Drosophila melanogaster: one gene and its partners. The protein of the gene in region 4 purifies or fractionates together with the protein of the main gene of each other region. This does not show direct contact. Each region holds a gene or a part of one and is shown on either strand. Other genes may lie near its edges.

Region 1 (4,903 bases), on a different chromosome or scaffold from region 4:
CATTAAATGTATAAAAACCCCCAAGAATTAGGTTTGGGTCTATTTTTAATGAAGTTAGTCATCATTAAATTCTGCATTACTGGAACAATCTTACACATTAATACTAGAATTTATTCACTGACACTGAAATGAAAGGACAAATATGCCAAATATACTTTTCCATATATTAAAGACCACGAGTCTTGCTAATTTTCCCAAAACATGTTAGCTAGTATAGCACAGCTGATTGATCAATTCGGTCTATATCTTCACAGATATCGGAACGATTGCATATTTCAACAAGAAAAAAGGTGAACTAAAAAGCCACGGGGGAATTCTTCTTTTAGCCGTATCACAAAAACTACAGAGTGGAGAACGGTGTCTCTGTATTGGGTGTTCTGGATTCGGGGGAGAAGAGTGAGATGAGGGACAATAGGAATGGAATGAAGCAGTGGAGCTGTGACCAATAACAACAACAGCAACCAGAGATTGATACATATAGACGGGAAGGAGATCGTGGAGTGGAAGTTGAGTCTTGGAGGAGAGTGAGTGCAAGGCATAAGGAGGAGCGCGTAATTCACTTTAGTGTGTGTACGTTCAACCGGAATTGGGCGCGCGCTTTGTTATTGCTTTCAGCGGTACAGTAAAAACTTCCTAAGCGAGCTTTCTGTGTACACCTCCGAGTGTGTGTGTATGTGTGTACATATCAGTATTTGTGAATGTGGAAGGTGCCAAATGCCCCATGCACGACATCGGCTTGCATAGAATTCAGACGCACACATAGAAAATATTTATATATCGATACCGCCAAGGGGGCGGGCGGGTGGTGTGTGAGAGCTGCTGGTACATGTTCTGTATCTACAACTTACAAGAATAAGAAGAAGAAGAGTCAGAGGTAACAGCAGCAGCAAACGCAACAATGCAAAGGTGGTGGTGGCGATACGGTGGTGGTGGTGCAGCCACAGAGAGAACCAGAGAGAGCCGCATTTGTTGTTGAGGCGCAGTATATGGATGATTTTTTTTTTTTCAAAAAGGTATTTCACCCGTTTGGGGCCAAACTCACACACGGACACAGCAAGCATTTGGCGGGCATTCGAGAGAGAGAGCGGCAAAAATGAAGAGAGCGCAACGCTGCGCAAACCAAAGACCGCGAGCAAATATTAGGTGAATGGAAACCGCCTAGAGGATCATCCTGCTCCAACTAATTGAAACACCCCATCGAACCAACAGCTGCCCCCTTTTAGCATTTGTAAACAAATATTGGAGCACAGTACAGCCGCACAAAAGCTTTAGCCCTCGTTCTCTCTCCTGTCTCTGCCACCACCAACTATCCTTTAATAAATGAAGGTAAAACAAGTTCGCTCTTTTGAGCTCTCCCAACTGTCTTTGTTGTTATTGTATTTTTGGATCCGCCATTAGTGCATACCAAACACATTTACTCGCTTGCTGGTGTGTGTGAGTGTTTGACGAGAGAGGCTCCAAATTGGGGCGTTGTGTGCGTGTGTGTGCTTTGGGGAGACATGTGGGCAAATTTTCCCTCCATTTTTTCTTTTTTTTTTTTTTTGATTCAGCCCGCTCTATTACGTGCACACGTATAATGTTATCTTATCTGTTTTGTTATGTGTATACACAGCACAGCAGAATACGCAACACAAAAGGCAGCCAGCGGAAAATATGTTAAATTTTTTGCAAATATCACTAGCACTCGGTTTTGAACAACTGCAATACGAATCGGAATCAACGCGAATTAATATTTAGTTTTTTACTGTTACTTTCTCACTCTGGCGCACTAACACAGCCGCGGAGTGGCGCTGCGCTATTAATAAATTTTGCAAATAAAACATATGGATGTGTAGAGAAATATGTACAATATATTCACATACATATATACTATTTCAGCATGAAGAAGCAACGGCAAACGTTTTGTGTAAATTCAAAACCGAATGAAAAAAAACAGGCGGAGCAAGAACAACAAACGACGGATGGGCTGGGGAGCATGAAGAAGAGGAGCAAAAGGAAGATCTGAACAAAAAGAGGGCCACAAAATGATGCTCTCATTGGGGAGCCATTTAAATGCACACTCACACTAGGCTGCTCTCGCCAGTACATGCGAATGGCGCATCAAAGCAAAAGTCAAGATAAGCGCACGAACTGAGCAAAGAACGAATCAACAACGAAAATAAAACGACACTACGTTGAAAAAATACAGTCAGTTCATAAGCGAACCAAAAGCAATGGTTCAAAGCGTATGTATGAGTGTGGCTCTCCTCTCCACAACTGTGTTCAACTGTGTGTGAGGAGAGCAGAAACTGTAGAGGCAGCAGCAGCAGCAACACAAACAACAACCACGTCCCCGTCGACGACTTTTTGTCTGTGCGCCTTCTATATGTATTCGCTATGCCATTGTTGTTTGTGTGTGTGTGAGTTTGTGCGTGCGTGTGTATATAAACCAATTGAAATTGACCTAACCTAAAAATGTTGTATTTTCACAAGTTTTCAGTGGCACGAACGAAAATATTGTTTGAACTCGAATCCGCACTCCAAGTGCACTTGAAGGATAATGCTACTCTGCAATTTTCACGCCCCCCACAACCGCCCACCGCCCATATTACACTTACATCAGCAATAAGCAGTTAGCTTCGTCGGTTGATATTCGGCTGTGTGTATGTATATTCGAAATGTATGTATATATGTACGGGGCGCGTATGTATATTTACTACAAAACTGCCGTTGGTTTTGTGGTGTTATTGGAAACTTTCACGTTTTACGCAGTATTTTGCACATGCAACTACTATATTCGCACTCACTGGCACACCGAAATCTTTATTTTCACCGTTTTCTTTTCTTTCAGTAGCTGGGGCTTCGTTCTCCAGTTCAGTTTAAGTTTAACGCTTATTTCAATCAATTTGCACTTGGCTCTAAGACCTTAACTAGATCACACGGCTCGAATTTAAGACATTTTCTTCTCGATAGATTGCTACTGCTATTCTATTCACAAATTTTTGGCGAGAGAACGTTTTCGTACATCTCAACGCCGCCGCAAACATTTTCGATTAAAACAGCGAAACGCGACGGCCAGTCATTTGGAGTCAGCAGAGAGAGCGAAATGAGTGTAAAACGGAGAGCGTGAGAGCGCGCGCGCAGTGTTGCTTTGGAATTCATTTTATTCTGCTGCCGCAGCTAAAACAGGGTGGCAACTCAACGGCGCAACAACTAAAATCCTCCGTCGAGCGCGTTGAAAACACATCAGTAGCTGACGGCAAAAATAGTTTATATACCATTCATTACCTATTAGCAAATAATCACAATCAGTGGTTATTTTTATTAGCGGTGAGCGGTACCGCATGCAAATAGTCGCAAAATGGCGCTTAGAATTTGGATAAGAAACGAAATACGTGAGGCTTACGTAAGTGCGAGGACCAACAACAACGCTGGGAAGAGAGAAAACAAGTTGTTTAGAAAACAGGGTGTACCATTGTCACCCAGCCATGTGGTGGAAACGATGATCAGAACATCTGGGTAAGACACCCTGTTTGAGCCAAAGAGAGAGAGCGGGTGTGAGAGCAGCGCACCCACACAAGCGCAACGAGTATACAGCAGATAGCGACGTCGGCAGAGCGTTTTAGCCGACCATTGCAGTACATATGTGAAATCGACGAAACCGAAAATCAGAAACCAAACGGACCACTAGCGAGCTACAACTCTGCCACGGCTACACTTTACACACTCATGTACTCCTCCACCACCTCACTCGCCAGCGCACTCACACACAGACGCGTGCGTGCGGAGAGAGGAAGTAAAAATATGAAGACAAAAAAAAGCAAGTGCATCTCACCATGACAATGGCGGAACCATAAAAACACATGTTCCCATCTCGAATCGAACTGAATTCGGCGGCCAGCTCCTTCACAAAATAAAATAATACAGACAAAAAATCTGTATACGCGCAAAAGTTGAGCTGCTAAAACATGGAAACCTTGCAGTTATCGATTCGTCTCGCTCATTGCGCAATGAAAAAAATGCAGCGGGGGCGGAGGATACGAGAGAGCCTCTCTCTTTGTGAGACACCTGCAGCGATAGGAAATGCAAATCCGCCTTCCACTTTCCAGCTCGAAAGTTCAAAGTTCACATGCAACTAACTAGCTACTGGGTGCAGCGCATGTCCGAGGTGCACCAAAGTCCCTGGACCAAACAAAAAAATGGCACAAACCAAACTCTCCGACTTCCAGGCGCCGCAGGAAGGTTTGTTTGCCCTCCCATTGGGTATTATTGATGCTTTTTTCTATTGATAATAAAGCCAGGTGGTCTAGCATGTTCTAATTATTCCTGTGCTAATTTCAGATCTGTCATGGAATGCGGCACTAGGAAATATTAACTGACGCTGATCAAGTGATATCTGAAATGTGGTAAAGAGGTTCCTGTCACACGGACCCATTTCTATAAAAAAAACTAATTAGTTTGATATTCGTACGTGTTCTGCAAATTATCAGATGTTTTTAACTCTCTTGAGTCACATGATATTTAATGTGATAAAAACTTTTTGTTATTTATTGTTTGTTTGTCCTAAAAAATTGACAACACAGTAAATGGAAAACTTTACTATAAAATATTTAACTTTAGTATTAATTCTCATCAAAACTATAAATCCATTTAAGGATTAGAGAACCCTCTTCTTTATGTAAAAGATTATACACAAATTTACCGGTGAGCCAAAATGCGTGTTGGATCAAAATTAAGAGCAATTAAAAGGTTTTTAAATTAAAATAACGATTATAAATTTGGGAATAGGCTTACACGATTGAACACAACGGCTTCAGTGTTGTTTACTAATTCAATACTTATTGAAATGATAACATAGTATATTTAAACATACAGTTTAACACTCAAGTTTTAATAATATAATGATGAAGGCTTGAAAAAGTTA
Region 2 (5,019 bases), 4.3 Mb from region 4:
TTATCCACCTATCGCCGATTGCTCTTTGCTCACTTCGCCTATCGCTGCTTCTTCTTTGCTGCGTGGCGTTTTCGTTTTGTCGGCCATTACGTTTTCCAATTGCCTTTGGCGCAGCCACACACAACACAAAACACACAAAGCGTGTGTGTGCGGCTGCCAATGTAGATGTACATGTTGATGTGCGCCCGCAAAGAAAAATCGTTTTCTAGGTGGAATTATTCAAGTGGGCGTCGTGCGAAAGTATTTCCGTGGCGAAAACTAGTTTAAGAATCGCGAGATTCACCCAATCTTAGTCAGGATCAAAGGAGAAAGGTAAGAAAGACGCCAGGGCGGGCAAGCAACTAGGATAATCGATCGCAATGGCCTTGGTTACTAGTTGGTGATGTCAGTGGCGACGGAAATGGAAGTCCTGGCCACGCACTTGACCCAGTTCGGGAAAATCGCTTTTCTAGTCCCTCCAGAAGCGGCCGAATGGAAAGCGGGCGGAAGAACCATGCATAAAGCTATTGATTTTCCCTCATTTCCCAAGCAATTAAGGCCTTTGCCTTTAACCCAGTTACACGTACATATATCCATATGTACATAAGAACATACAAATGTCGGCATCTACATAATCGCAATGGTCCTTGGGCGGGTGCGAAAGTGGATAAACGGGAGAACCCTTGAGAGCGGGTGGGAGTTGGGCTAAGGACGTCGCCTGACACTTGCAGGATTCAGATTCAGATCTAGCCGCCTGCCGCCCTCCCTTTCGGGAAATGGAAGCTTGTGAAACGTGCAACAACCTACGCCACAGCATCACAAGTTGAGGAAAACCAGGGAAAATCCGCAGGAAAACCGAAAAGGAGTAGGGCAAGTCTGGCGCTCGGTGGTGGCGCTCGCTTCTTCCCAATTACCACCCCCGAATCAACGACATGTTATTTTGCCGAGTCCTTTTTTTGCTTTTTACCGACGCAGAAAAAAAGACGCATCAGCAGCACCAACAACAACAGCCGACGTCGCGGCGAAAAGAGCGAACAAACATTTGCCAAAAACAACACGTACACCGGACGAAAACGCACGTCGACCTGTTCACTTCCCTACAAAAACAGAGTTGCGAAACATCCCAAGTGGTAACGTCAATCCTTTTGTTGCAATGAGTGCAAAACAATTTTTAAAACAATTGTATTTATTGACTATTTTACTTATTTTTATTATTATTTTTTAAGTGCATTGTCAGTTGGAATTTCAATGTTCCCATTATTTATAGAAGTTGACCCAGCAAATGTTTCAATTTACGCGCGATTATGCTTTTTAATATGACTGACATAAATCAAATCTGTATAAATGCAAGATATGAAAATTATTAATTTCAAAAGCATTCCCAAGGGAAAAGTAAAAAATTAAAAGTTTAATTAGTCAGGACAAAGCTATCCGAATGCAACTTCTTTGAACTCATGATGGCGACGAGGAATACATCCTGGCGACGGCAGGACAGGCAGCCCTCCCCGCCGCCCACAAGCAGGGTTGCATGCACGCCAAGCCAAATCCGAAAGCAAATCGGGGCCGATAGTGCATAATATCGTGCGGCGAAGAGCGAGACGAAGAGTCGTGGCGAGTTGTGGCGAATTGAGGTTTTGCGCCGTCGGGCCGAGCGTCGCTCTTTTGCTCTTCATCTTGGCTCGTTATTTCGCTTCGCACCGTGTTTGCGTTCACAACTCTTGTTCGGGTTCTGCATTTTATTTTATTATTATTTTTTTTTGTTTGTTGCTATTCGGTGAGTACCTGCGGAAAAGTAAGGCAAGGCGATGAATGAAAGGAACAAAAAGGAAAAGAAAACGAAATGAAAAGCCATGCAAAGGGTTTTCCTCGTCAACTCGCTTGTTTGTGTTTTGTGTGCAAAGTGCCTGGTGAAAAGATGTACTCGCCGTACTGCCAAATGAGAAAACGGCAGGCGTTCGTTTATTAATGCTCGCGTTCGTATTTTTGCGAAAACCTGGTGAAAAAGAAATTTTCTGTGCTCGCTACTGCCTGTGAGTGTGTGTGAGTGAGTGTGCGTGTGCCTGTGCGCTGCTCGTGTCTGTGTGCGCTCGCTTTGGGTGTGCATGTACGTCACTGCCACCCATTTTTGTGTGCTGTTCTGGTTCTTCGTCCCGTCTCGTGTCGCCTCGCTGTTCCCTCCTAGCCGTCCCTTGCGGTTTTTGCTGCAACTCTGCGGAAACTCTCCACGAATTCCCCCCTTGCCTAGCGCACGAAGAGGATGGCAGCTCTGCCAATTCTTTGGTAACTTTTCCGCCTAGTGAAAACTGCTGCCAGTTTCCGTTCGCTTCAGGTACTCCGCTTCTTCCGTTCCGTCCAACTGACTGTCTGCCCGTGTTTACAATCGCGGCGTTTTTGCACACTGTGCCGTGCGTCTGTGTGAGTTCTACTTGGTGGTATATCTGTGTACATGTACACACATCGATACGACAGCGGAGTCTTCATTTTGTTATTGCCATTCTCTTTCACTTCCTTTTCGCCTGCTTTGTTGCTGTCGTCGCTGTGACAGTTATGCTAGTTGTTAGTGTGCGTGTCGTGTCCGTGTGAGTTTTCCGCGTTTCTTCGCCGGTGCGAACTGCAATCTGAAATCTCGCACTCGCGCTAAAATGGCGCATGTCAGAATCGAAATTAAAATCATAAGCCAAAAGCTACTCTGATCGTCAGGCCACGAAGAAGCGGAGAAAGAAGATGAAGAAGGAGGACCAGCAAGCGGCAACAGCAGAAGCAGGATACCTAACCAATTTGAGGATTATTCAACATCTCATCGACTCTTCAGCTTCTCTTCTCAGCCTTGCCCAGTTGCTGCTTCTTCCGACTCTGCTCTTCTCTCCTCTACACGCCACTCGTCTCCTCTGCTCTTTTCTCGTTTTGCTTTCCTCGCATTCTCGCAGCTCCCAGCTGCTGCCAAAACTTGTTTTCAGCAGCGATAGAAAAGAGGGGCAATGGAGCTGGACAGTGGCTGGCAAGGAGAAGAGGGGGTTTCTGGAAACCGCAAAAGCATGTTTAATGTTCTAGTCGCGTTACTGGACTCCGAATCGGAATCGAGTGAACGGATCGGATCGGATTGTCCTGGGGATTGAATGAGCTAAAAGGGGCTAAGAGAGCGGCTTACTTTCGGCCAGGTGAAAGCCAGGGCCATAAAACTAAGTTTACCACATTACCGCTTAGGATTTCGCTTCGGCTCAGATTAGCTGTTATACTGAAGTTTGGAGATTAAAGTCCTTTGATAATATTCTTTTAGTTGGATTGAATCGACTTAATAGTTGATTAGTTTGGAGAAAACACAACAATGTTGAGTTACAACTAAAAATTTGATTTATCTAAGTGAGCATATACATTATGACTTAGCAATCCAAAGGCTTATCAAAGTTTTCAATGCTTATCAGGGATTTTACAGGTGGGATGGGATTTCCATTCACTTAACAAGTTTGAATTTAGAAGATAACGAAAATATTTTGGTCTTCCAGAACGATTTTATAAGAGCATTATAATTAAAGTTGAAAGGATGCAAAAGAAACCCAGAATGGCGTTTCTTTTTGTTTTTTAAATCTAGTGCAGAATTTAACCTACTTCTGGGTTGAGCTGTTTTTGCTTTGCCAATTAGAACGTTATTCCCACATGGCGGATTAGTAATACGACTTAGTAACTTTCTTTTTCCCCTTCTTCGCGTCCTTGCAGATATTCTTCACATCACAGTCAACCAATGGGACCAAATCACTGCGACTCGAACTGGACACAATCAGCATCGGATCGCAGGGAACAACAGGAGGTGGTGGAGCAGCAGCGCCAGAAGGCGTCGGGGGAGCGGCCATCATAGGAGCAGCAACGTCGGCAGCAGCTGCCCAGGGCCCCTCGAGAATGTCTAGCCGGAAGGTGCCAGGAGGCTCTGGAGGAGCTGACGAATCCACAGCAGCAGCTGCCCCCCTGGATGATAATGCCAATGCCAGTGTGGAGATTCCAGACAGCAGCGAGGAGCCAGCAATGGGCGTCGGCGAAGAGATGTCTATCATAAGCAAAACACGCACCTCAACTTTGTCAGTGGAGCCCGCTAAGGAGCCAACAGTAACAGCAGAGCTGGAAGGCGAAAAAGAGCTGGAATCGAATCCAGTCTCCAAAACTCCTAGGTCCACGCCTACGCCAACCCTTACGCCAGCCGTCACGCCTACCGCCAGTGATGGAGTGGCGGCCAAGAGCGTGAGGGTTACCCGGCACTCGTCGCCACTGCTTCTGATCATCTCGCCCACGACAAGTAGACGTGAGGTCGGCGACGGAGAGCTAGACACCGAGGAACCAACGGGATCGGGTGGCCAAAGAAAGAGCTCCGTGGAGCGATCTTTGGCGCCCGTTATACGCGGACGAAAGTCCATCAAGGATCTGAAAGAAGCCAAAGAAGTCAAGTCCGAGGAGCCGCCTGCCGCAGCATCAGAGTCACGAGCTGCAAGTGGAGTGACGCCTGGCCAGGTCAAGGAACAGCATGTCGCGGATGGCAACGAAATGGAATCCTTGCCAATCACAGACAAGAAAGACCACAAAGACACAAAAGACAAGGGAGATGAGCGGGAAACCGATCAGGAGGAAGAGAAGGAAAAATCAGCTGATACAGAAATAATTGCAGATACAGAAAAAACTTCGGAGAAACAAAAGTATACAGAGAAGGACAAAGCTGCCGATAAAGATGGAGGAAAAGAAAAAGATATTGATGCAAATAAGGATATAGATAAGGAGAAGGAAAAGGTCAAGGAAGTACTTCCGCCAGTGGTGCCTATAGCACCAGTGACACCCACTTGTAACCGTGTCACACGTAAATCACATGCCCAGGAGCAGGCGATTAACACGCGGGTCACTCGCAATCGTCGCCAGTCCTCTACAGTTGGAGCCAACTCCACCGCGTCTTTGGTAGCTGCATCCTCCTCAGTAACAGAGCAACCCCCTCCATCTCGCGGTCGACGGAAGAAGCCAGTGGTGGTGGCTCCTCCCTTGGAGCCTGCGGTAAAACGGAAGCGA
Region 3 (7,772 bases), on a different chromosome or scaffold from region 4:
GATCCTAAACCAGATATTGATATTCAGCCCGCAGATCTTTAAATGCTCGTCAAATTGCCTCATTGTCGGCGCTTTCGGAGACGCACCAGATGCTGCAGAAGTCCTGCCGGGACTTTGCCAACAATGAGCTCAGTGGAAACGCAGCCAAGTTCGATCGGGAGCACCTGTATCCAGAGAAACAGATCCGCCAGATGGGCGAACTGGGCGTGATGGCAGTAGCGATTCCCGAGGAGCTGGGTAATTAATATTACGCCCACCTCAGCCCTCCTTATAGTATCTCATTGTATCTCTTTATTGTTAATCAGGCGGCACTGGACTGGATTATGTGGCCTACGCCATTGCCATGGAGGAAATCTCAAGGGGCTGTGCCTCTGCTGGCGTCATCATGTCGGTGAACAACTCCCTGTATCTGGGACCGCTTCTCTCTTTCGGAAACGATGCCCAGAAGAAGGACTACATCACACCGTTTACCACCGGCGAACGAGTGGGCTGCTTCGCGCTCTCTGAACCTGGAAACGGATCCGATGCTGGAGCTGCTTCCACCATAGCAACCGACAAGGGAGATCACTTCGTGCTGAATGGCACCAAGGCCTGGATCACAAATGCCTTCGAGGCGGAGGCAGCCATTGTGTTCGCCACCACCAACAAGCAGCTGAAGCACAAGGGCATCTCCGCATTCATTGTGCCCAAGGCTACCAAGGGCTTCTCGCTGGGCAAAAAGGAGGATAAGCTGGGCATCCGGGGATCTTCGACGTGCCAGCTAATTTTCGAGGACTGCGTGGTGCCCAAGGAGAACATGCTGGGCGAGCCGGGTTTCGGTTTCAAGATTGCCATGCAGACGCTGGACGCCGGCCGCATAGGAATCGCTGGCCAGGCGCTGGGCATTGGTCAGGCTGCCCTCGAATTGGCCGTGGACTACGCCCAGAAGCGACAGGCCTTCGGCAAGCCCATTGCCAAGCTCCAGTCCATCCAGCAAAAGATCGCGGACATGTCGTTGGCCATGGAGTCGGCACGTCTGCTCACCTGGCGCGCCGCCTGGCTGAAGGACCAAAAGCAGCCCTACACCAAAGAAGCTGCAATGGCCAAGCTGGCTGCCTCGGAGGCGGCCACCTTGTGCTCCCACCAGTGTATCCAGATCCTGGGCGGAATGGGCTACGTGACCGACATGGCGGCCGAGCGTCATTACAGGGACGCCCGCATCACTGAGATCTACGAGGGCACCTCCGAAATCCAGCGACTGGTGATCGCGGGCTCCATTCTAAAGGAATATGCTAGTTAAGATCAAAGTTATATATCCGTACTACTTGTGTCTCGTTTAATAAAGAACGTTTTTAATATACTATTTTGCTAGTTCTATTGAGTTGTATAATTGTTTATAATAGATAGAAATACATGAAAAAAACACCTACAACATTTTAATTCTTTAGAAAAAGTTAGCAAAACAATAAATCTTCGTTCAAAAAGTAAAGTAAAATAAGTGAAACTCTTGACTACTTTTTAGACGTTGCATATTTGTAAATTAATTAAAATAATGAACCTTAAGTGCTTTTAAAATATATTTATAAACAAAGCTTATTATTTTATATGCCTAATTATATTATATCTTTTAAACCAAATTTTAAATGACTCAAAAAAATGGGAACTTGGCGCCAAAACTGCAGCAAGGCTTTGTCGGTTAGCATATTTGTGTGGTATTTTTGTGACTTCATTCGGTATATTGCTGGTAGCTGTGCAGCGGTCACACAGCAAAAGCAAAAAGTTTCTTTATTTATTTGATAATTATTCGTTACGCGGTAATTAACGCGATGCAAGTGCAGCAGGAACGTGGTAATGAGAGTTTTTGCCACTGAGCTGCGCGTGTCGGCCGTCCAGAAAGTGCAGAAATCGCGTGAAGTGCGCGAAATCCGTCCAAGAGCAGAAAAGTGCCAAGAATAGCTGCGATGGAAACAGCGATGGATGTGGTGTGTGTAATGGATACGGCGGTGGGCGACCATCTGGAGGACCGCCAGTGTGCGCTGGAGGAGATCAAGCAGGCAGTGCAGTCGGCGGGCGCCAACTTTCAGCGGGTTCAGGTGCGCCAGCTTGGTTATACAATGGCATATGGGTGATTTGACTTACATCCCCCCCACTTGGCATCCTTGCAGTTCGAGCGCCTGGACTTCGGCGAGACGAATGTGCTGGAGACGTTTTACAACGCCGATGTGGCCATTATCGACCTGAGCATTCTCACCCAGCAGCGGCCGCTTTCCTATCACTACGGCGTTAGGGAGAGCTTCGGGATGAAGGAGAACATCCTCACCTACAACGACATCGATTCCAAGCAGACGCTCAGTCTCAAGGTGCGTTCGGAAGTGTTTACCTGGCCGGGCGTGCCTGGCAAACATCTGCGTTCGTGATCGGGAATCCGCTTCCGATAAGATAAATGCTATGACCAGCAACTGCGTGGACTCCTGGACTAGTTGTTCTTGCTGATCTTTCTACAGTCGAGCTTCCACAACGCGAACTGAGTTTATAACAAGTCTCTAACCTAGGTGCTTAGACACCTCTTTCTGGAAAATGACTAAAAATTATTCTATCTACTAGTCTTCCTTTAGCAAATTGCAAAAGAAACCGAAAAACTTCCTCTTTCCAGAGGTTAATAACTAAAACCTCTTTCCCATATGGCAGCCAATAATTTGAACTATGGAAGTTCGACTGTATTTCCGTCGAATCGTTTTCGTTATTTTTGTTTTGGCTGCGGCCATAAAGCAACAAAAGCATTGGCCCAGCAATAACAATAACAAATGCGAGCACGCCCACGCAAACACTCAAAGAGGCACGCACACACTAACAGCACGGTGTACACCAACGCAGCGTGGCCTGCATTCACAGTGGCGGTCATTAAATTAGGTACACTCTACTCCCCTTGCAGCTCTCGTGTGCCAACTACCTGTTTCTCAGCTACAAGCGGAATGCGGAGACCAATTCCTGCCACCTGACCAGCCAGCCCAACAGCGGCAACAACAGCAAGGAACCCAATGCCGAAGGACGAGTGCCCACTTTGCAGTGGCGCCTCAAGCGAAAGCTGCAAGATGTTGAGATCCAGTCGAAGTGAGTACAATCTAGGGAGTCCCCTTTTGCAGTAAGTCATGCACGGTGATTGCATATCGGAACACTATTTATAACATCCCCTGCGGCAGATTGGCTGCAAAAGTCACGCCCTGCATCTAAAATGAATCAGACCGATTTATTGTGTTGGCCTTGGAATTGCATATAAAATATCAATAATCGCTGAAAATTCTTAAGTCTCTTTATAGTATCATAATTGTCCTTTCAATTTAAATTACTTCGAACTTTAGTGATACTACTACGGGTTAACAAGTAATGAAATGAAAGTAATTGAAATCTTAAATTTGGTGTACCAGATAGATGCTAAGTTAATTAGTCTTTCAGCCAGAGCACGAAACACTGTTCCTATTATGCATTATTTGTGTACCTAAAAACTAAACGAAGCTATTTTCGGTTATTTACAGAGCCCACATGCGTGAGAAATTTCTGAGTGACATGCGAACGGCGCGGGACACGTACGCCACCAACGGCGCCAAGCTGCAGAGTATATTGCACGAGATGCGAAAGCGGCTGGACGATCCGCATGTCCTGTCTGGCGAAGTGGTACACAGTTTCATGTGCTCGCTGAGGGATGTGCAGGACTACGATGCCATGGTGCGACTGGTCAATGACCTGAAGAACATACCCAACACCCGGAAGTACGTGGAGACGGGCAACATGAGTTTCCTGTACGCCTTCGCCCTGAACCGAAGAAATCGAAAGGGAGACCGTGAAAAGGCTCTGGAATCTTCGCTGAAGGCGCTGGAAAAGAAGGAGAACCACTTTCCGGACATGCTCTGCCTGTGCGGCCGCATCTACAAGGACATCTTTGTGGAATCCGACTACACGGACGCCACCAGTTTGGCGCACGCCATCAAGTGGTACCGCCAAAGCTTTGAGGTGCAGCCGAATGAGTATGCAGGCATCAATCTGGCTACTCTGCTGGTTATCGAGGGCAAGGAGTTTACCAATACGGAGGAGTTGCAGCACATCGGCATGACCTTAAACAATTTAATCGGTAAAAAGGGCAGCCTATCCTCGCTGAGTGAGTATTGGGATGTGGCCACCTTCTTTGAGATCTCCGTTTTGGCCAACGACTACGCCAAGGCGATTCAAGCTGCCGAGTGCATGTTCAAGCTAAAGCCACCCAACTGGTATCTGAAGTCGACCATCGGAAATATCTCTCTTATACATCGATTTCGAAAGAAGCCCGAGGAACGCCAGCCGCCCATCGAGGAGCAGGTGTTCCAGTTCTGGATGGACTTCTTTCTGGAGGCCACCAACACCGAGGAGGTTAAGAACAGCATTCGCTTTCCGATTCTGGTTGGTACCCCTGATCTGCAGTTTAAGCTTTATTATTAACTCAAAACAAATTCCAGATCCTCGAGCCTCAGAAGATTTATATGCCCAGTTATGTGACTATAAACATGGATGCGGATGAGAAGTCCATTCAGATTGTGAACATCTGTTTGGCTCACGCAAAGAATGCGTGTAAGAAAATCCACGACTTCCTTTTCGTGGCATCGAAGATCAAGTCCGTCAGCCTTTACAAGAGGGATGATCGTTGTGCCTACTTGTACGTCCATCACAACTCAGATGATTTTCAAATATATTTTCCCTCCACTGAACGACGACAAAAGTTCTACGATATGATCCTGGAGATGACTGCAGATCAGGTGGTGTTTGTCAATCTCAGCAATGATGACGCTAATATCGAGGTAAGTTATTTATTATTCATATATACATATATTCCGGCCACTTTTGCTAATTATTATTAATTGTAGTACGAGTACGACTACGATGAGCAGAATCGCAAAATGGTGCTGGGCAAAGGTACTTATGGCACCGTGTACGCCGCCAGGGACAAGCAGACGCAGGTGCGAATCGCCATTAAGGAGGTGCCGGAAAAGAACTCGCAGGATGTGCAGCCACTGCACGAGGAGATTAAGTTACACTCTCAGCTGCGACATCGCAACATAGTTCGCTATTTGGGATCGTGCTCGGAGAACGGCTTCTTCAAGATCTTCATGGAGCAGGTGCCGGGAGGATCGCTTTCCGACCTCTTAGAGACCAAATGGGGTCCGCTCAAGGACAACGAGTCCACCATGGCCTTCTACTCCAAGCAGATCCTCGAGGGGCTGAAGTACCTTCACGAGCAGGACATTGTTCATCGCGATATAAAGGGTGACAACGTGCTGGTTAACACGTATAGCGGCGTGGTTAAGATCTCCGATTTCGGCACCTCCAAGCGGCTGGCCCGCATCAACCCGATGACGGAGACCTTTACGGGCACCTTGCAGTACATGGCGCCGGAGGTGATTGACCAGGGAGTACGCGGCTATGGCCCGGCGGCTGACATCTGGTCCTTTGGATGCACAAACGTTGAGATGGCTACGGGCAAACCACCGTTTATCGAGCTGGGTAGCGCCCATGCGGCCATGTTCAAGGTGGGCTTTTACAAGAAGCATCCGAACATACCCGAGGAGCTGTCCGCCAACGCAAAGAACTTTATTTTGCGTTGCTTTGCCATCAGCGTGATGGACCGACCCTCCGCCTCGCAACTTCTGGAAGATCCCTTCCTACAAGAGTGAGTTTGCTTAATTGTTTTGCCTAATTCCTTTCTAATTGCACTTTTAATTTTCTCAATAAGTAAACCCCGCAAGGTGCGCCCAGCCCTGCCCATCAATACTGAGTTCGGACGCAGCATTTCGGTGCCGGCTGATCGGTTTGTGCACAAAACCACACCGCCGCTGAGCTACAACACAACCTGCAATACGCCCACAACGCCGGAATTGGAGTAAGTTAAACGCTGCGACTATTCTTATCATGTTCGACCTTCCTCAATTACAAGCAGAGGTTATCTTATCTGTTGAAAATTATCATTTATATTTTGCTAATTTTAATGAATATAAAAATTTTTCCGTGCTTCTCTATATTTTCCCATATCGTCTACTATTATAAGAGTAACAAGTGCCTTTGCTTATCGTGTAGTTAACACATTGATTGTTGCTATCAGTAAAGTGCATATTTAATGATTGGAAAATGCGCACTCGGATTTTGATACTGAGAAGAGATAGCACTTGATGTATTGTAAAATAAACGTAATTTTATATTGTACTTTCTGTTTCCTATTTCAGCATAACGCATTCATCCTCGGTGGACATTGACGAGCTGCCCAGCAACCAGTTTATGCTTGAACGGCGAAATTCCCATGGATTTTTGCTCTCGCCAGAGATTGAACCTTCCACGCCGTCCTTGCGTACGAGCATTAGTGAGACGAGCGAGACTGACGGTTTTTACAGGCTTAAAAAGGATTCGCAGAGGCGGACAACGCTTTCCAAGGTGCTGGCACTAGACGAATCCAAGATCTGCGATATTTGGCTGAAGAAGGTCGACGCTGATCAGAACTCGATTGCGATTAGGAAAAGCGATTTGGAGGTTCTAATCCGAGGACTGCGGGACTACATTATGAACGAAAACGAAAAGCATTTGGAAGCGACTATCAACGAACTGAAACAAAAGCTGAACAACGACGCAGTTGCTCTGGACCATCTTCATTTGGCGCTGTACTCCTTTCAGGACGCCGTGGTCTGCGTACTGCGGTACCATTGCATCAAACCCCATTGGATGTTCGCATTGGATAATCTGGTTAAGCGGGCCGTCCAGGCGGCGGTCACTATTTTCTCTCCTGAACTGGGCGCCAATCTGGCGGACAAAGACCTGTCTGGAAATGATGATGAGAGCTTGCGTACAAGTCTAATGCAGAAGGGTTCCACCGAGAGCCAGGAAAAGCAGAGCCTGGAAAAAGTTCTTCCCACGAGCAACACTCGCGAAGGTGTGGGATTAACGCCTGCGGAATCGGGCGGGGATGCTCTGTCCAGTTCGATGGAGTGCGCGCGCATCCTGAGAGACATCCGTGACAATCAGCAGAAGCTGCAACGCCAGCTCCTTGAGCAGCAGCGGCAGAGCATGAGGGCCCTGCATAATATCAGTCAGGAGCTGGCTCACATTTACATGGGCGGCAGAAAGAGATTAAGGTTGGTAAACCAAGTAGGACATTGTAAATTTTATTATAATTCACAATTTCATCTTAACAGACGCACAATAAACGGCTTTAACAAAAAGTGCCATAGAATGAGTACCAGTGTGGGCGGAACGTCCGGAGTCCGTCCGAATATAGCGGGCAATCCCCGGAGGCAGCTAAACAAGCATCACTTTGGTCTTCACGAAGTAGACGAGCAGTTGGAGCAGTGGTTGACCCAGCAGGAAATAGACGAGTTCTCAAAGACGCTCATCCTGAATGAAGGTTTTACATTTGACGACTTTATCTATAACATGGAAAAGCTGGACCTCATGAGGCTGGGTCTGCGGTGCGTTAAAGCTTATAAGAAAAGTACACTTAATCCATGCTCAACTAACTTTTGGTATTTTGCAGCGTTGGCATCGAAGTGCGTTTGTGGAAACTCATTATACAAGAACGTGTGTGCACCTCGTCCGATTGTGTGGACAGTCCACCAAGCACTTACCACAAACCCATTGGAGGCAATAGCTCTTTTGCGCTTATTGACAACAACAATACGCTACCATCACCCACAACCACAACTCCCGGAACGCCGGGCATCAAAACGAAAATCAAGAAAAGCGAAAGCGAGTACGATTCGTGCAGCGAGTGACTGGAGTTGAAA
Region 4 (5,824 bases):
CCTGCGCCTTCTGTCCCACGGAATTCCGCTCCAAGTCGAATATGTACCATCACACTAAGCGCAAGCACAAAGCGGAATGGGAGAGATCGCGAGCCACGCGCTCGGCGGCCAAGGCTGGCGTCCAGGAGCAGATGCAGCACACCAACCCGTCACAGGCACAGGCTCAGCCGGGTCCTGCGGCCGCACTCTAGGATGGCAGCCGGCACCTGGACGCGGTGCATGCGTAGTCTTAGATCTTTACAATTACAAATATATACATATATATTTTTTGCATATTAGCCATACCGAATGTACTTATCCGACGTTTCGTGTACTCCACAAAGTCAAGGCGTCCCGCCGCCTGGCACCTATTGTGTATACTCTTCTCGTTCTCTATAATGCCTTAACCAGTTGGATTTGATCTGGTTATAAAGTAAACACATTCATTTCAAAAGAAACTAAAAGTCATGTGCACTTATTGGGCGGGGCTTACTGCTAATTGGTGGCTCCATCGATCCATTTGCATGTGAAAAAATCTCTGATCTTACAAGTTTATTTCGTTTTAGCAATTTATACATCTGTTTTTACAATAAAAGTAAAGTATGCGATGCGGGTTTATGCGATTTATGAACGTAATGGTTAATTCAATAAATACGGCGTTTGATACCAGAGATCCACTGCCCACTGGCATGGATCAGCCTGCAGCCGTGCACATCCGTGGTTTGTACTCCGTATTTATTGCACTGGTCATAAGGCAAATATATACCCTTAATGCTGGATGGGATTGGAGGATTGTGTGATTTAAAAGTACTGCCGAGGCTTTGCATTGCGATGATTGATGCGATGAAGTTGAACTGGTATCTGCTAACCCTAACCCTATGCCTGGCTGCTAGCTGCCCCACTGAGATTGGTGCTGCTCCACTGGAGTTGGCTGCGGTTGAGCGCGTATATGTTTCTGTGTCTTAATGCTTAAACTAAAGGCTGCTGCTTCTGCTGATGGAGTCTGGGTACTGGTTCTACGAACGCTTGCTGCGCGCCTGCGCCTGCAGCAGATCCACCGACGGCACGACAAACACAAACGACAGGCAACCGAATCGCAGCAGGCTGCCGTGAGCCAGCACCGCCGATCCCTCCCAGGCGCCATCCACCATGGGCACTGGTCCGGCGTTCATGCAGCGGCAGGCGGGCTTAACAATGGGCGCCAATCTGCGGGGAGATTAAATCAACAAGTGGTTATCATCATCATTGGGTAAGTTGGGCAAATAAACTATAGCTACCGTTCTTTGTCGATTTTCTTCGTCTCGAACTGGCGATTAATGTTCCGACGCTTGTCCAGCATCTCATCGACGCGCTTCTTCAGCTCCGCATCGTCAGGTCGCATCGGCTTGCCGGCGTGCGTTGTCATCCTTTCGGTCACGTCGCAGGCATACAGCTGTCCATTCACCTCGGTGCCAAACTCTGAGTAATTGATCAGCTCGTACGACTTGGAGAATTCGTCGTAGAAGATGATGGCGTGCTGCGGTGAAATGCGACAACAGTAACCAATGGCCGACAGGTCCACGGTCTCCGTTTGCGCCAGCGTCGTCGATGGCGAATAGTGTCCACCGTAGCCAATGTACAGCGTGCGGTAGCGCATGAAAATCGAATGGTCCAGCCCCAGCGAACTGAACCAGCGGCTATCCTCGAGCATGTCGCCCAGTGGCGTTATCACCGCACGCGCCTGCACTTTGCACTGCAGCAGCTTGAGCTCCAGGCGCGATGCCAGCTCGTATGCCTTCTCCGTGTCGCTACGGGCACGCGGCGCATAGCTTTCGGCAGCGGCATCTGCTGCTGCAATGGCCGCCGCTGTGGCCAGTGCCGGATGCAGGGCCGTTGCGGGATCTTCGTCGGCGGCATTGCCATTCTTTTGCGCCAGAATTGAGGACGTTTCGCTGGTGAAGAGCAGCGAGAAACGGTTCATATCCTCCGGCGCCAGTTGGCCTTGCAGGGCAGCAGTTTCGCCAGCCACATGTGTGCCATCGACTGACGCCAGTTGACGCAGGCGACGAGCGGCCGTGCGATTCTTGTACTGTGTCACAATCTCCGGATGCTCTTCGACCAGCTGCTGCAGACGCTGGTGCGCCAGCTTCTTGATTATATCGACGTCCAGGTGTAAGAGGTCTGCATCGATAATACCCGTTGATTTCTTGCTGTCCTCCTCGTCCTCCTCGAAGCTAGCCTCCACCTCTAGGCTGGTCTTGGACTCCACCTTGACAACCGACGGCTGTTCGCTGGCCTGCGCATTCGATTCTGTATTGGGATTCTCCGTATCCACTTCGCCATTCACTTTATCGGCGGGAGTGTTCGTCTCGGTCCTTTTCTCTTCAGGACTGGGATCGCTGTCGCTATCGCCATCTATGGCCGTCTCCAAGGTTCCGAATTCCCTCTGAATCTCACGGAATTTGGCGTGAGCCGTGCGCAAGGCCTCCAGATCCTTGAGCAGCGATTCGGTGACCGACTCACGGGATATCTCCTCGACTTCGGTGGGCAGGTTATTGCGCCGCTTTACCCGATCGTAGCGCAACGTTTGGCGCATGGAGGGCAACAGCGGCGGCGGATGATCGTAGTGGTAGCGCACAATGGCTGGCACCTCGATGTGGGCGCGAGCACGCAGATTTCTCTTGGTGCGAAAGGGCGGATTGCGCGTGTTGACACGCCGGAAGAACTCAAGCTTGACATTTTCATGGTCAAGTGGCTGGTGGAAGCGATTCCAGAGACGCACCCGCTCCGTGGCCGAAATGCTATTGGTCATATTGGCATCCTGTGAACAGACATCCTCATTAGAACCCAAGCAGACCTCCATGTGCGTTGGCTGACTTACGATAAAATTCTCGGCATGATTGGGGCACATCCACAATCCAGCTGGCAGTGCCGTCAGTGGCGGATCCAGGCAATCCTGGTGAAAGTAGAGCGGACAGTAGTCGCAGGAGATGAGCGGCGCCCGTTTGCAGGAGCGCGTGCAGTAGAAACAGGTTTTGGCGGGCAGCGGCACCAGTCCCTGGGCATCCAGCTCAAACGGCTTGGAGTTGCGTCGCTGATTGCCGGCGCATCTGCGATTACCGCCATTTCCGCTCGGCGGATGCGTCTGCTGTACGGGTTGCACCTTGCCATTGCCCGGGAACTGGGTGTGCAGCTCGAGCTCCGGCGGCAGCGAGAATTGCTGCGGATTCATCATGGTGGCCGCCCTGATGACATCGTCCAGCGGCGTTGGCTTCTTGTTCGGATCGAGGGCGCGCTGTATGGACATCGGCATTTTGGCCAGCAGCTTCTCGGTGCTATTGCGTTCGCTGTTGCTGCGTTTGCGCAGGTTGCGGATCTTCAGCGGTATGGACTCCAGATCGCCAGACGATGGAGTATTCGCCCGTGAGCCACTGCCCGCCGAAGGCACACGCTCCACGGAACTGGCCTTGGATGAGGAGGCCGGCGGCTGGGAGAGCTTGCTCATGCGACAGCTGTGGCACAGCCACTGGCCACTGGGTATGTCCTCCTCGCTCAACGGTGGATCACTGTGGCGAAAGCACGAAATCAGCACTCAAAATGAGCAGCTATATGCGCGTGTATATACTCACTGGCATTGCAGGTGGAAGCTGGAGGGGCATCGATCGCAGCACAGCAGATTGCCGCCCTCCTCGCAGGCGTCACAATAGTCGTGGTTGTGGCCCCTGCCCGGGCGCCTGTAGTACGGATGCTTCGTGTTGGTGGACCGCTGCATCATCTTCTCGTCCTCGTTGGGCGGCGGGCGGATGAGCTGCTTGATTTGCTGCGCGAAGTAGTAAAGTTATGTTAAATGTGGGAAATGGAGACAGTTGTGAATGCGTTAATGTGGCAGCTCTAGAGTAGCCACCGCCGATTGGAATTGGAGCTCCGGGCAGTGGACACACTGAAGCTCTGAATGGCGTCCCGGCGGCACACTCACCTCCATGATGCTCAGTGAGGCGTTCGGGTCCTGGTCCAATTTTGACATCTTTTTCGCTCGCTCCTCTTATCCGGTGTACACAATCAATCTCGGAGCGACTTCACTTGGCGACGGAGGCGGGCGCAGTGTCGGTTGTCCAGCCCTGCGCATCCGACGAGCGAATGGCCACACTGCGCGCCCACCGATAGGCGATTAACGGAAATTCAGTGCAGACTGCATTTCACTCCAAATCTAACTACTTGCAATTAATAAAGTTTATATTGGGTATACACATTCGTAACCGAAAAATACCCAAGCAAACAAATAGTTAAAAATTAAATACCCAAAATTCTCATATTTCGCTCAGACCTCACTATAGACACCTATATGTTTACATCTTTTGGGCACACCACTAGCTAGCACTCGCTGTTTTGGACCAACGCCCGCTAAAAGAGCATCACAGCTGGCGGACGACGCAATTTGCCAGTTGATTTTACCAAACAATAGAACAAAATAGTGCAATGTTTTCGATATTTGGCAAACGCAAGCCCGCGGAAACGCCCACGGATGACCAGCCCATCCAGGGACCGGCGGAGGCAACCCGTCCAGGCACCAGTGTCGATGATTTCGTGTTCATAGAGCGCAAACCAGTACCGGATGCTCCTCATCCGGGTGTTCCAGCCGGCTCCATGTATCCACCTATGCCGCCAGCGGGCTATCTGCCCTATCCGCCGATGCCAGGACCGCGCAGCGATCAAGTGAAGCAGCCCGGAGCCCAAGGACCCGTCAATTACTTGCAGGACATTCCATTCGAGCTGGCACCCGGATTGGCCAACAAGGATCGCTACACCAGCACCCAAATGCAGGTGGACAGCATATTGGCGCTACTAACGCGCCAATTGTCCGTGGACGAGCTGGCCGAGGAGTACACCTTCGCCCTGGAGCGATCCGTGCAGAACGAGTGTTACTAGCTTTAGATCCATAGATCCACTGGTTAATATTCATACATTACATTACATTACATATAATAAAACGTTGCTTATTTAATTGTAAACCACATATGCAGTGCTCTTTTGCTTGTTAGTGGTGTGAGTCATTGGAATTCCTTAATCTTGTTGCCATACAATTAATGTTCCATTTCTTTGAAAACATGTAGAACTTTTCTGACTATCAAGTAGTCCTTTGGTTTTACCTCGCTCACATTTCAACTGGGACTGCTCATAAGGTGATCCACTATCGCAGCGTGAATACATAAAATTGTTAGTGCTCCCGTTTACCCAAATTTTTCGTACACAAAAAAGATTTCGAAACATTATTTTGTGTTTATAAGTAACCAAGTTCAAAGCTAAATTTCCAATACGTACAAATTTACCAAGCCGAGACGAGCCGTTCCGTTTCGTTTCGTTTAGTTCAGTTCCGTGTAGTACTCTTCAGCCATGGCCAGCTCCAATGTCTCGGATTGGGATGAGCCGATGCCCACGTCGACGGAGTCGCTGCCCGAGGAGGAGGATCCGGATGTGTGCGCAGAGGAGAACGTAAAGAAGCGGCGGGAGGAGGAACTGGACAAGCTGGAGTTGTATGTGCGGCGCATGGCCTACCAGCCGACACTGCCGCCCAAGGTAAAGCCCTACGACGTGGCCCTGTCCAAGCCCAAGTTGCACACGCTCATCGACAACTACGAGCAGTTCAAGGATGTATACGATCCGAAGCTGCGGGCCAAGCGGATCAAGCGCATGCTGGGCAAATACAAAGCCATTACCACGGAGTAAGTGCAGCGCTTGCATCAGTTGCTAACGCGATCTAATCATCTCATCTCATTCCCAAAAACAGACAGCTGGAGCAGATCCTTAAGAGCAACAAGACCAAGGAGCGAAAGAAGGAGGATTTCCTGAAGCGCAAGCAGGAACTGTA

What was found.
Region 1: the proteins of CG3815 (region 4) and Sin3A purify together in Drosophila melanogaster (affinity purification with mass spectrometry; 2 studies listed by BioGRID, with this or other methods). This does not show direct contact.
Region 2: the proteins of CG3815 (region 4) and east purify together in Drosophila melanogaster (affinity purification with mass spectrometry, with the first as the bait; one study listed by BioGRID). This does not show direct contact.
Region 3: the proteins of CG3815 (region 4) and Ask1 purify together in Drosophila melanogaster (affinity purification with mass spectrometry, with the first as the bait; one study listed by BioGRID). This does not show direct contact.

Annotation. Positions count from the first base shown.
Region 1 is NT_033778.4:12,586,119-12,591,021, forward strand, and holds the start of Sin3A (Sin3A), read right to left. Parts: upstream 3,035-4,903; 5' UTR 2,598-3,034; intron 1-2,597.
Region 2 is NC_004354.4:2,010,649-2,015,667, forward strand, and holds the start of east (enhanced adult sensory threshold), read left to right. Parts: upstream 1-1,994; 5' UTR 1,995-2,009; intron 2,010-2,472; exon of another isoform or gene 2,473-3,137; intron 3,138-3,693; 5' UTR 3,694-3,873; coding exon 3,874-5,019.
Region 3 is NT_033777.3:19,877,972-19,885,743, forward strand, and holds the start of Ask1 (apoptotic signal-regulating kinase 1), read left to right. Parts: upstream 1-1,747; 5' UTR 1,748-1,952; coding exon 1,953-2,072; intron 2,073-2,144; coding exon 2,145-2,339; exon of another isoform or gene 2,340-2,911; coding exon 2,912-3,090; intron 3,091-3,512; coding exon 3,513-4,410; intron 4,411-4,466; coding exon 4,467-4,805; intron 4,806-4,871; coding exon 4,872-5,674; intron 5,675-5,737; coding exon 5,738-5,884; intron 5,885-6,224; coding exon 6,225-7,124; intron 7,125-7,184; coding exon 7,185-7,457; intron 7,458-7,522; coding exon 7,523-7,760; 3' UTR 7,761-7,772. Other genes in the region: Arc42 (Activator-recruited cofactor subunit 42), read left to right, coding at 28-237, 306-1,279.
Region 4 is NC_004354.4:6,293,664-6,299,487, reverse strand, and holds CG3815 (uncharacterized protein), read right to left. Parts: upstream 4,100-5,824; 5' UTR 3,983-4,099; coding exon 3,935-3,982; intron 3,779-3,934; coding exon 3,588-3,778; intron 3,525-3,587; coding exon 2,840-3,524; intron 2,780-2,839; coding exon 1,257-2,779; intron 1,186-1,256; coding exon 996-1,185; 3' UTR 518-995; downstream 1-517. Other genes in the region: CG12219 (uncharacterized protein), read left to right, coding at 1-191; CG15891 (uncharacterized protein), read left to right, coding at 4,435-4,884; CG15892 (uncharacterized protein), read left to right, coding at 5,350-5,678, 5,744-5,824.